2 linked regions of the Callithrix jacchus genome follow. The protein of the gene in region 1 purifies or fractionates together with the protein of each later gene. This does not show direct contact. Links are inferred from orthologs where the notes say so. Each region holds a gene or a part of one and is shown on either strand. Other genes may lie near its edges.

Evidence for each region. The genes of interacting proteins can lie anywhere in the genome.
Region 2: the proteins of ZZZ3 (region 1) and KAT14 purify together in Homo sapiens (affinity purification with mass spectrometry; 4 studies listed by BioGRID and IntAct, with this or other methods). This does not show direct contact. The link is inferred for Callithrix jacchus from reciprocal best matches to the Homo sapiens genes ZZZ3 and KAT14.

The regions. Positions count from the first base shown.
Region 1 is NC_133508.1:114,800,387-114,803,954, forward strand, and holds part of ZZZ3 (ZZ-type zinc finger-containing protein 3), read right to left. Parts: intron 1,919-3,568; coding exon 1,766-1,918; intron 1-1,765.
Region 2 is NC_133506.1:25,179,623-25,183,971, forward strand, and holds the start of KAT14 (cysteine-rich protein 2-binding protein), read left to right. Parts: upstream 1-1,513; 5' UTR 1,514-1,554; coding exon 1,555-1,813; intron 1,814-4,059; coding exon 4,060-4,178; intron 4,179-4,349. Other genes in the region: protein PET117 homolog, mitochondrial, read left to right, coding at 1,105-1,254. UniProt on the Homo sapiens protein: Component of the ATAC complex, a complex with histone acetyltransferase activity on histones H3 and H4. May function as a scaffold for the ATAC complex to promote ATAC complex stability. Has also weak histone acetyltransferase activity toward histone H4.

The DNA.
Region 1 (3,568 bases):
GCACTTTTTTAAATGTGTGACTTACTGATATAATTACACATTTATGTCCTCCCACAAGACTAAGATTTATAAGCATAAAGATCAAACATATTTTGTTCATAACTACGTATCTAACCCATAGCAAAGCCTGAAAAATAGTAAGTTTAAATAAACATTTCTCAGATGTACAATTCTAATAATACAAAGTATGAAATTATACACATATGCTGTTTAAGACACAGCAGATATTAATCATTTCTCTCTCTTTTTTTTTTTTTTGAGATGGAGTTTTGCTCTTATTGCCCAGGGTGGAGTGCAATGGCTGGATTCGGCTCACTGCAACCTCTGCCTCCCAGGTTCAAGCAATTCTCCTACCTCAGCCTCCCGAGTAGCTGGGATTACACCACACCTGGTTAATTTTTTATATTTTTAATAGAGATGGGGTTTCTCCATGTTGGTCAGGCTGGTCTCGAACTCTCGACCTCAGATGATCTGCCCACCTGAGCCTCCCAAAGTACTGGGATTATAGGCGTGAGTCACTGCTCCCGGCCTGAATTCATTATTTTAAAAACAAGAAAACAGGTGGGGTGCGGTAGCTCATGCCTGTAATCTCAACACTTTGGGAGGCCGAGGCAGGTGGATCACGAGGTCAGGAGATCAAAACTATCCTGGCCAACATGGTGAAACCGCATCTCTACTAAAAATACAAAAATTATCCAGGCGTGGTGGCACACACCTGTATGCCCAGCTGCTGAGGCAGGAGAATCGCTTGAACCTGGGAGGCTGAGGCTATATAATGAGCTGAGATCACACCACTGCACTCCAGCCTGGGCAACAGGGTAAGACGCTGTCTCAAATAAATAAATAAATAAATAAATAAATAAATAAATAAATAAATAAATAAATAAAAATAAAGGGAGAATTCAGCAATTATCCCCCACCTTTTCTATATGTACCTCAGAGTAGCCAAATAGTTGATTGGGAGGCAGGGGGATTACTTTATAGAATAGTCCATTAAGTAAATGAAGAAGAAATGATAGCATAATCACTATTTTGTAACATCTAAAGAATTAATCGATTTGGGCAATGATCAGTAGCTTTTATGGCAAAAAAAAAAAAAAGAGACAACCAGGCTGATAAAACTACATGTGATGTAGTCCTGCCCACCCTAACAAACAAATACATCTGAATCTGACCAATGCTCTCGACCTAATATGAATTTACAGGAAATTCAGAAAACAGAGGAACAGGCTAAATGACATCAAGGAGATGTAATCAATAAAATCCATACCGGAAAATTCTACAGTACAAATGAACCAGTTCTTCAACAAAAACATTGTGAGAGGGAAAAAAGGAAAGTGAAAGAGGGAGAATGAACCTATTGTGATTTATAGGCTTTATGAGGCTCCAAACCCAAATAAAACAAATTAGAAAAAAAATAATGAACAGTGACTATGTACTTCACTGTTTAACAAATTATCTTTTTATAAACATGATAATATCTGGGACTTGCTCCAAAATAATCCAGAGCAGAGTTGAGGTGGGTAGGGAGGGAGTAGAGATTAAAACAAGGTAGCCACATGTTGATAATTGTTAAGGTTCATTATACTAATCTACTTTTGTATATGATTGAAATTTTCTTCACAAAAGCACATTACTTAAAAAACTATACATTGGACTTGTTCATTAAAAGAGAAGAAACCAACATTCTCTGAAGAGTGGAAATAATTAGAAAATCCTACTCTCCTTCTATACCTTGTGTATAATAACTAAATAGATAACTTACTGATGCCTCTTCAACAGCAGCGTTCATGTGGCTCTGAAAACAAGATCGATCATCATCTTCATCCATATACACTGGTGGTTCATGTGAAGTCATGAACGTGGAAGGCTTAAAGAGATGCTTATTAAGAGGGTGCTGCCGTCTGCTTGTTGAAGACTAAGAAAACAAATTTTTAATTGGGACAGTAAAAAATCATTATAAAAATTGAAAATATAAAAATACAAATTTACTTCCAACAAGTCTATCAGAAGAATTTTACCTCTATCCTTTAGCATACTTTTATGTTGTTGCTTTTTCTATGTTTTCTGGGTTTTTAAAGCACAACTAGCCTTAAAAAAAAAAGAAAAAATGTAGGGGAAGTACCCCAACAACAGTAAAATGGACCACATGCTCAATATATACCTTATATTTGTATCCCCAGCATTCACCACTCTTGGCAGTCAAATGCTAGCTGCACTGAACTCTTATGATCATCTTATAAAAAATCAGAGAGGATGAAGTGGCCTGTGCCAGACATAACACTATCCAGTAAAAGAAAAATTTCTATAACATTATCAATATCTGAAAGTATTTATCTAACACTGACTGACTGCTTACTTCATGCCAGGAGTGTCCAACCTTTTGGCTTCCCTGGGCTACACTGGAAGAATTGTCTTGGGCCACACATAAAATACACTTAACACTAAAAAAAAAATATTGTAATGTTTTAAGAAAGTTTACCAATTTGTGTTGGGCCACATTCAAAGCTGTCCTGGGCCACACGTGGTTCTGTGGGCCATGGGTTAGACAAGCTTGCTCTATGCCAATATCATTTAATCCTTACAACATTCCTATAAAGTAGTTATCATCACCTCTAATTTAAAGATGAGGAAACTGAAGACAGGGAGGTTGTTTCTTGTCCAGTGTGTTGCAGCTAGATAGTGGTAGAACCAGGATTACAAACTAGGCCTGTGTGGTGCCCAAATTCTCACTCTCCACCACTATGTAGCCCGCCTGTCTTGATCAACAGCACAGTCACACCCTGAGCTACATTTCACCTGTTCCCAAATTTAACTATATTGGCAAACAGTCATTATAACTATAGCTGTACTAGATCTTCACAGCCAAAATACAGTATACCCAAGGGAAAAAAAACACATGCAGTTTCTCCAGTATTCCTTTTGTTATCGTCACCCAGTGTTAACTATGACAACATATGGTTACAGCACATCTATAAAGTTAGCTTAGAAATTAATCATGAAAATTAGAGCTCTTATGTAGAACACTGGTTAATGTAAGGTTCCAATATCCCAAAATTATAGGATGAACTCCACATATCTAACACAAGTTATCCTACATTTGATGGGAAATCCAAAATATTTAAAACAACTGGCAAATTAAAACAAGCTTCCAAAGCTTGGTTTAAAAAAAATGTTTTTTAATATGTAAAGCATGAAACTATATAGACAATATACTTAATGTAAAATCACATTAAATGGCTTCAATATGGTAGAGTAACAGCAATACATATACTCTTAACTTCTCTTTATGAAAGATGGCAGTGGTGGGGAGGGAAAAATACCAGGATAACTTATTAAGAAAATGAAAAACGGCCAATTATGTATTTTTATTTTTTACAAGTATAAGAAACTAGCTACATTTTAATGCAGTGTTCTGTTTGGGAAGGGAACAGTAGCTTCCCCACCGTAGAAAGCAACAGAGAATAGTGGAAAAAGCTTGGCATCCGAATGAGAGAATCAGTGGTTCCCAGACTTAACAGCTAAATGACTAGATAATTTACTCAACATACCTGAGGGCCCAGTTTCC
Region 2 (4,349 bases), on another chromosome or scaffold:
GCCCAAGCTGGTCTAAAACTTCTGAGCTTAAGCAGTCTGCCTGCCTTGGCCTCCTACAGTGCTGGGATTACAGGAGTGAGCCACCGGCCTAAAAACTTTATATTTTTGTGAGCAATAAACTATAAAGTGTTAGTTATTAGTAATGACTGAATTGATGTTTTTAAAAGTCTAAACTTGGGTGTCAGGTCCGTGTTCTGGGATTCTGTGGTTTTTTAGTGCTTACTAAGGTAACTACCATTGATGGGAATTTATTTTTTCCTCTGGTAGTAGCATTCTTCTTTTTTTCCTTCTCTCTCTGTTATATAATTAATAATTCTGTATGAGTTTTACATTTTTAGCTTTACATGCTAGAAGTCAAGTTCAGATTTTAGTAATCTGCTTTTTTTCTCTTGATGTTTATTGTTCAGCTAGGATAATTGCTAACAGAAGGGTAGTTTACAGTGTTACTGTAGTAACTTGCCAAGGTTTTAAGCATTATGTATCAGTTACACTTTTAAAATTTAACATTGGCCAGGCGCGGTGACTCATACCTGTAATCCAGCCTTTGGGAGGCTGAGGCGAGCAGATCACTTGAAGTCGGGAGTTCCAGACCAGTTTGGCTGACGTGGCAAAACGCCTCTCTACTAAAAATACAAAAATTAGCTGGGCATGGTGGTGCACGACTGTGATCCCAGCTACATGGGAGGCTGAGGCTGGAGAATCACTTGAACCTAGGAGGCAGAGTTTGCAGCCAGCTGAGATCACGCCACTGCACTCCAGCCTGGGCGACAGAACAAGACGCTGTCTCGATACATAAATAAAATAAAATAAAATTTAACATTTTATTTTTTATTTAACAGTCGTTTTCCTGTTATTTCCCATTAAATAGTCTGTACTCAATGCTCAGAAATTTCTTAAAATATGAGAAATCATTTCAGTAATAACATTTATTTGATGGTTTATTACATTTTACATTTGTACAGAAAATTAAAATAGTAACTGGGTATTTGGAATCTGAAAGTTTTAAGTGTATTTTGGTAACACTGTTATTTGGATTTGAATGGCACAAGGATGGGGACCACCTGTTCGGGATGTTACTGAAATCTGTTTCTTATACGTTTTTAGAGGCTTCATGACGGAGTTATCAGAGACATTCAGAGGCAAAATCGGAAAAAAGAAAACATTCGTCTTTTGGGAGAGCAGATTAAATTGACTAAGCAACTTGAAGCAGAAAGAGAGATGTTATTGGCAAAAGGATCTCAAAAAACGACTTGAATGTGAAATATCAATGGGACAGACAACATGAGTGTATGTGTGTGTGTTGACGGAGAGTAGCTTAGTGGTGTCTTCATCTTTTTTTTGGTCACCGTCCTTTTAAACTTGATCAGATAAAGGACAGTGGATCATATATTGTAAATTACTGCTTTCAGTGTCCCTTATATCTGAATAAAGGAGTGTAGGCAGATGCTCTTTGGAAGAGTCTTTGTATGATCCTGGTAGAAGCTCTGCTAAGGTCACTGTCCAGAGCTTAGGGTTGTTACTGAGAAGCACTGCTGAACTTGTGAGAAGGAGGGGATGGAGAGTAGCATCCACCTGAGTAGTCTGATTAGTCGGCATGATGACGAAGCCACGAGAACATCGACCTCAGAAGGACTGGAGGAAGGTGAAGTGGAGGGAGAGACACTCCTGATTGTGGAATCTGAGGATCAGGCATCAGTGGACTTATCACATGACCAGAGTGGGGATTCCCTCAACAGCGATGAAGGAGACGTATCGTGGATAGAGGAGCAGCTGTCCTACTTCTGTGACAAGTGCCAAAAATGGATACCAGCCAGTAAGGAGCTTCTCAATTTCTTTGATTTGTCAATTGCAGTGTGAAGGTTTGTTTTTCCAACCTGAGAAAGAAATGTGAATATAAAAGAGACCTAAATAAAAGGATAATTATATTTATTCTCTAGTTAATCAGCTATCAATTTATACAAAACCTAGGCACGTTTGTACTAATGAAACTTACTGTCAACCTCTGTCACATCGTTAACAATTTTGATGGTAACTCAATAAAAATGAGAAAATTGGAAATCCTGTGTTACTTAAATAATTAGCCATATTTTTCTAACATGATCATATAGATTTGGGGCAAAATTCCAATCCCAGTGTAGAATTCATGTTCAAGTTTATAAAAATTACTTTGTTAATGTTTAACTTATGCAGAGAACTGCTGTTGTATACTGAAGAGAAGTTAGATGAGCACATTGAAGGTGTTTTTTGCTCTTTTTCTAGGACCAGTCTTTTTTTCCCATTTTCCTTTTTTTCTTCTGGCAAGAGATAACATCATACACACTCCCTGATTGCCCCAATCTTGAGGTTTTCTTCTTTTTTTTTTTGTTTTTGGAGATGGAGTTTTGCTTTTGTTGCCCAGGCTGGAGTGCAGTGGTGCGATCTCAGCTCCTGGGTTCAAGTGATTCTCCTGCCTCAGCCTCCCAGGTAGCTGGAATTACAGGCATTTGCTACCACACCTGGCTAATTTTTTTTTTTTTGAGAGTTTCGTTCTCATTGCCCAGGCTGGAGTGTAAAGGTGCAATCTTGGCTCACTGTGACCTCTGGCTCCCAGGTTCAGGTGATTCTCCTGCCTCAGACTCTCAAGTAACTGGGATTACAGGCATACGCCACCATGCCTGGCTAATTTTTTATTTTTAGTAGAGATGGGGTTTCTCCATGTTTCTCAGGCTGGTCTCGAACTCCCAACCTCAGGTGATCTGCCTGCCTCGGCCTCCCAAAATCCTGGGATTACAGGCATGAGCCACTGTGGCCATTCCCAATTTTGAGATATTCCATGGTCAGCTTCCTGGCACTCGAGGGTATGGCTTGCCAGCCATACGGTTCATACCAAAAGAGGATTTTCCCATTAGGCAAGAGGCTTTACAGACATATGTACCTGAGGAATGCTTTTGTGTGATAGAATCTGTCATCAAGTAGGAGAAATACATTGTAATTATGAAGTGGGTCATTTTCTGGCATGTGGAAATTTTTTCTTAAAATGGGTTCAACTTCAGATTTAGTTACTGTTAACAAATTAATAGTAACATTTTCACAGGAAATGTAGAATTTACTAGTTAGCTGGTTTTTGCTTCTGAGTGGTCTCTGCTTATTAAATCCAGGTTCTGCCTGAATTCTCAGTGGCTTTCCCTTTGTCCTGTGAGGATAAATTTTAAGCTGCTCTTTGTGGTCAGGACCCTGCTAAGTGTAGCTTTGTTGATCCCCACAGAACTTTGCAGTTAGGATGAACTTTTCATTCTTTACAAACAATTCTGTCTTATTCCTAGGGCTTTGCACATGTATTTTTCCTTTCTGGAATATGCTCCTCCACAGCCTCCATTCTCCCTTTACACAAAGACACCCCTTTTCACCTGGCCAATTTCTAATCCTAAGCCTCCCCCTAACATAGGTTGGGTCCCCCTTTTACTTACTCTCACACTGCCCAGTGGTGCATATCACATTCCACTCCTGTGGTTTTCATGTGTCACAGAAATGTAGCTCCTAGGCTCTGCTTCAGAAGTTGATTCATTTTATCTGGTCTAGAACCAAGTATATTTAGAAAACCAGGAACAACTTGGGCGATTCTGATGCATTGTGAGCGTGGAGAATCACTGTGCTGCCCTCAGGGAAGTGCAAACCTGTGAGACCAGGCACCATTATCTGTCTTGGGCTTTGTATTCCCAGTTCCTAGCGCAGTGCCTGGTATGCAGAAGGAGCTCATATTTTTTGAAAGAATGTGTGAAGAGACCTGCCTCTGGGAGTCAGGAATGTGACACTTGGGAAATCCAGCAACAATACCTGATTTTCCAGTACTTTTCTCCTAAAAGTTACTGGATCGTACAGATCTTAGTGGGCGTATACTTGGTGTTAGAAGAATACAAGTCTTTCTTACTGCCTTCCTCTTTCCCATCTTGCTATTGTGTGTTTGCTCAAGAAAAGAAGACTCAACATGGGAAAGGAAAATCTGGGTGATAAATGCATCATACCTTGGGGTTACCACTGCTCTAGATAAACCCATGATGTGACTTTCTGTTTTTCTTCTAGGTCAGCTGAGGGAACAGCTCAGTTACCTTAAGGGTGATAATTTTTTTAGGTTTACTTGTTCGGATTGCTCGGCAGATGGCAAGGAGCAGTATGAAAGGCTGAAGCTGACATGGCAGCAAGTGAGTAAAAAGCCATTCCCCCAGGGGTTTGTTGGAATGAGTATCTAGAAACTTAGGGATGAGCTTTTGAGTTGTTTGGAGGGGGACTTTTTATTTCGAGATGCAATTAGATACCGAATAGGTGGAGAAGGAAGTGAAAAATATTTGCTGTAATCCCTGCGCTTTGGGAGG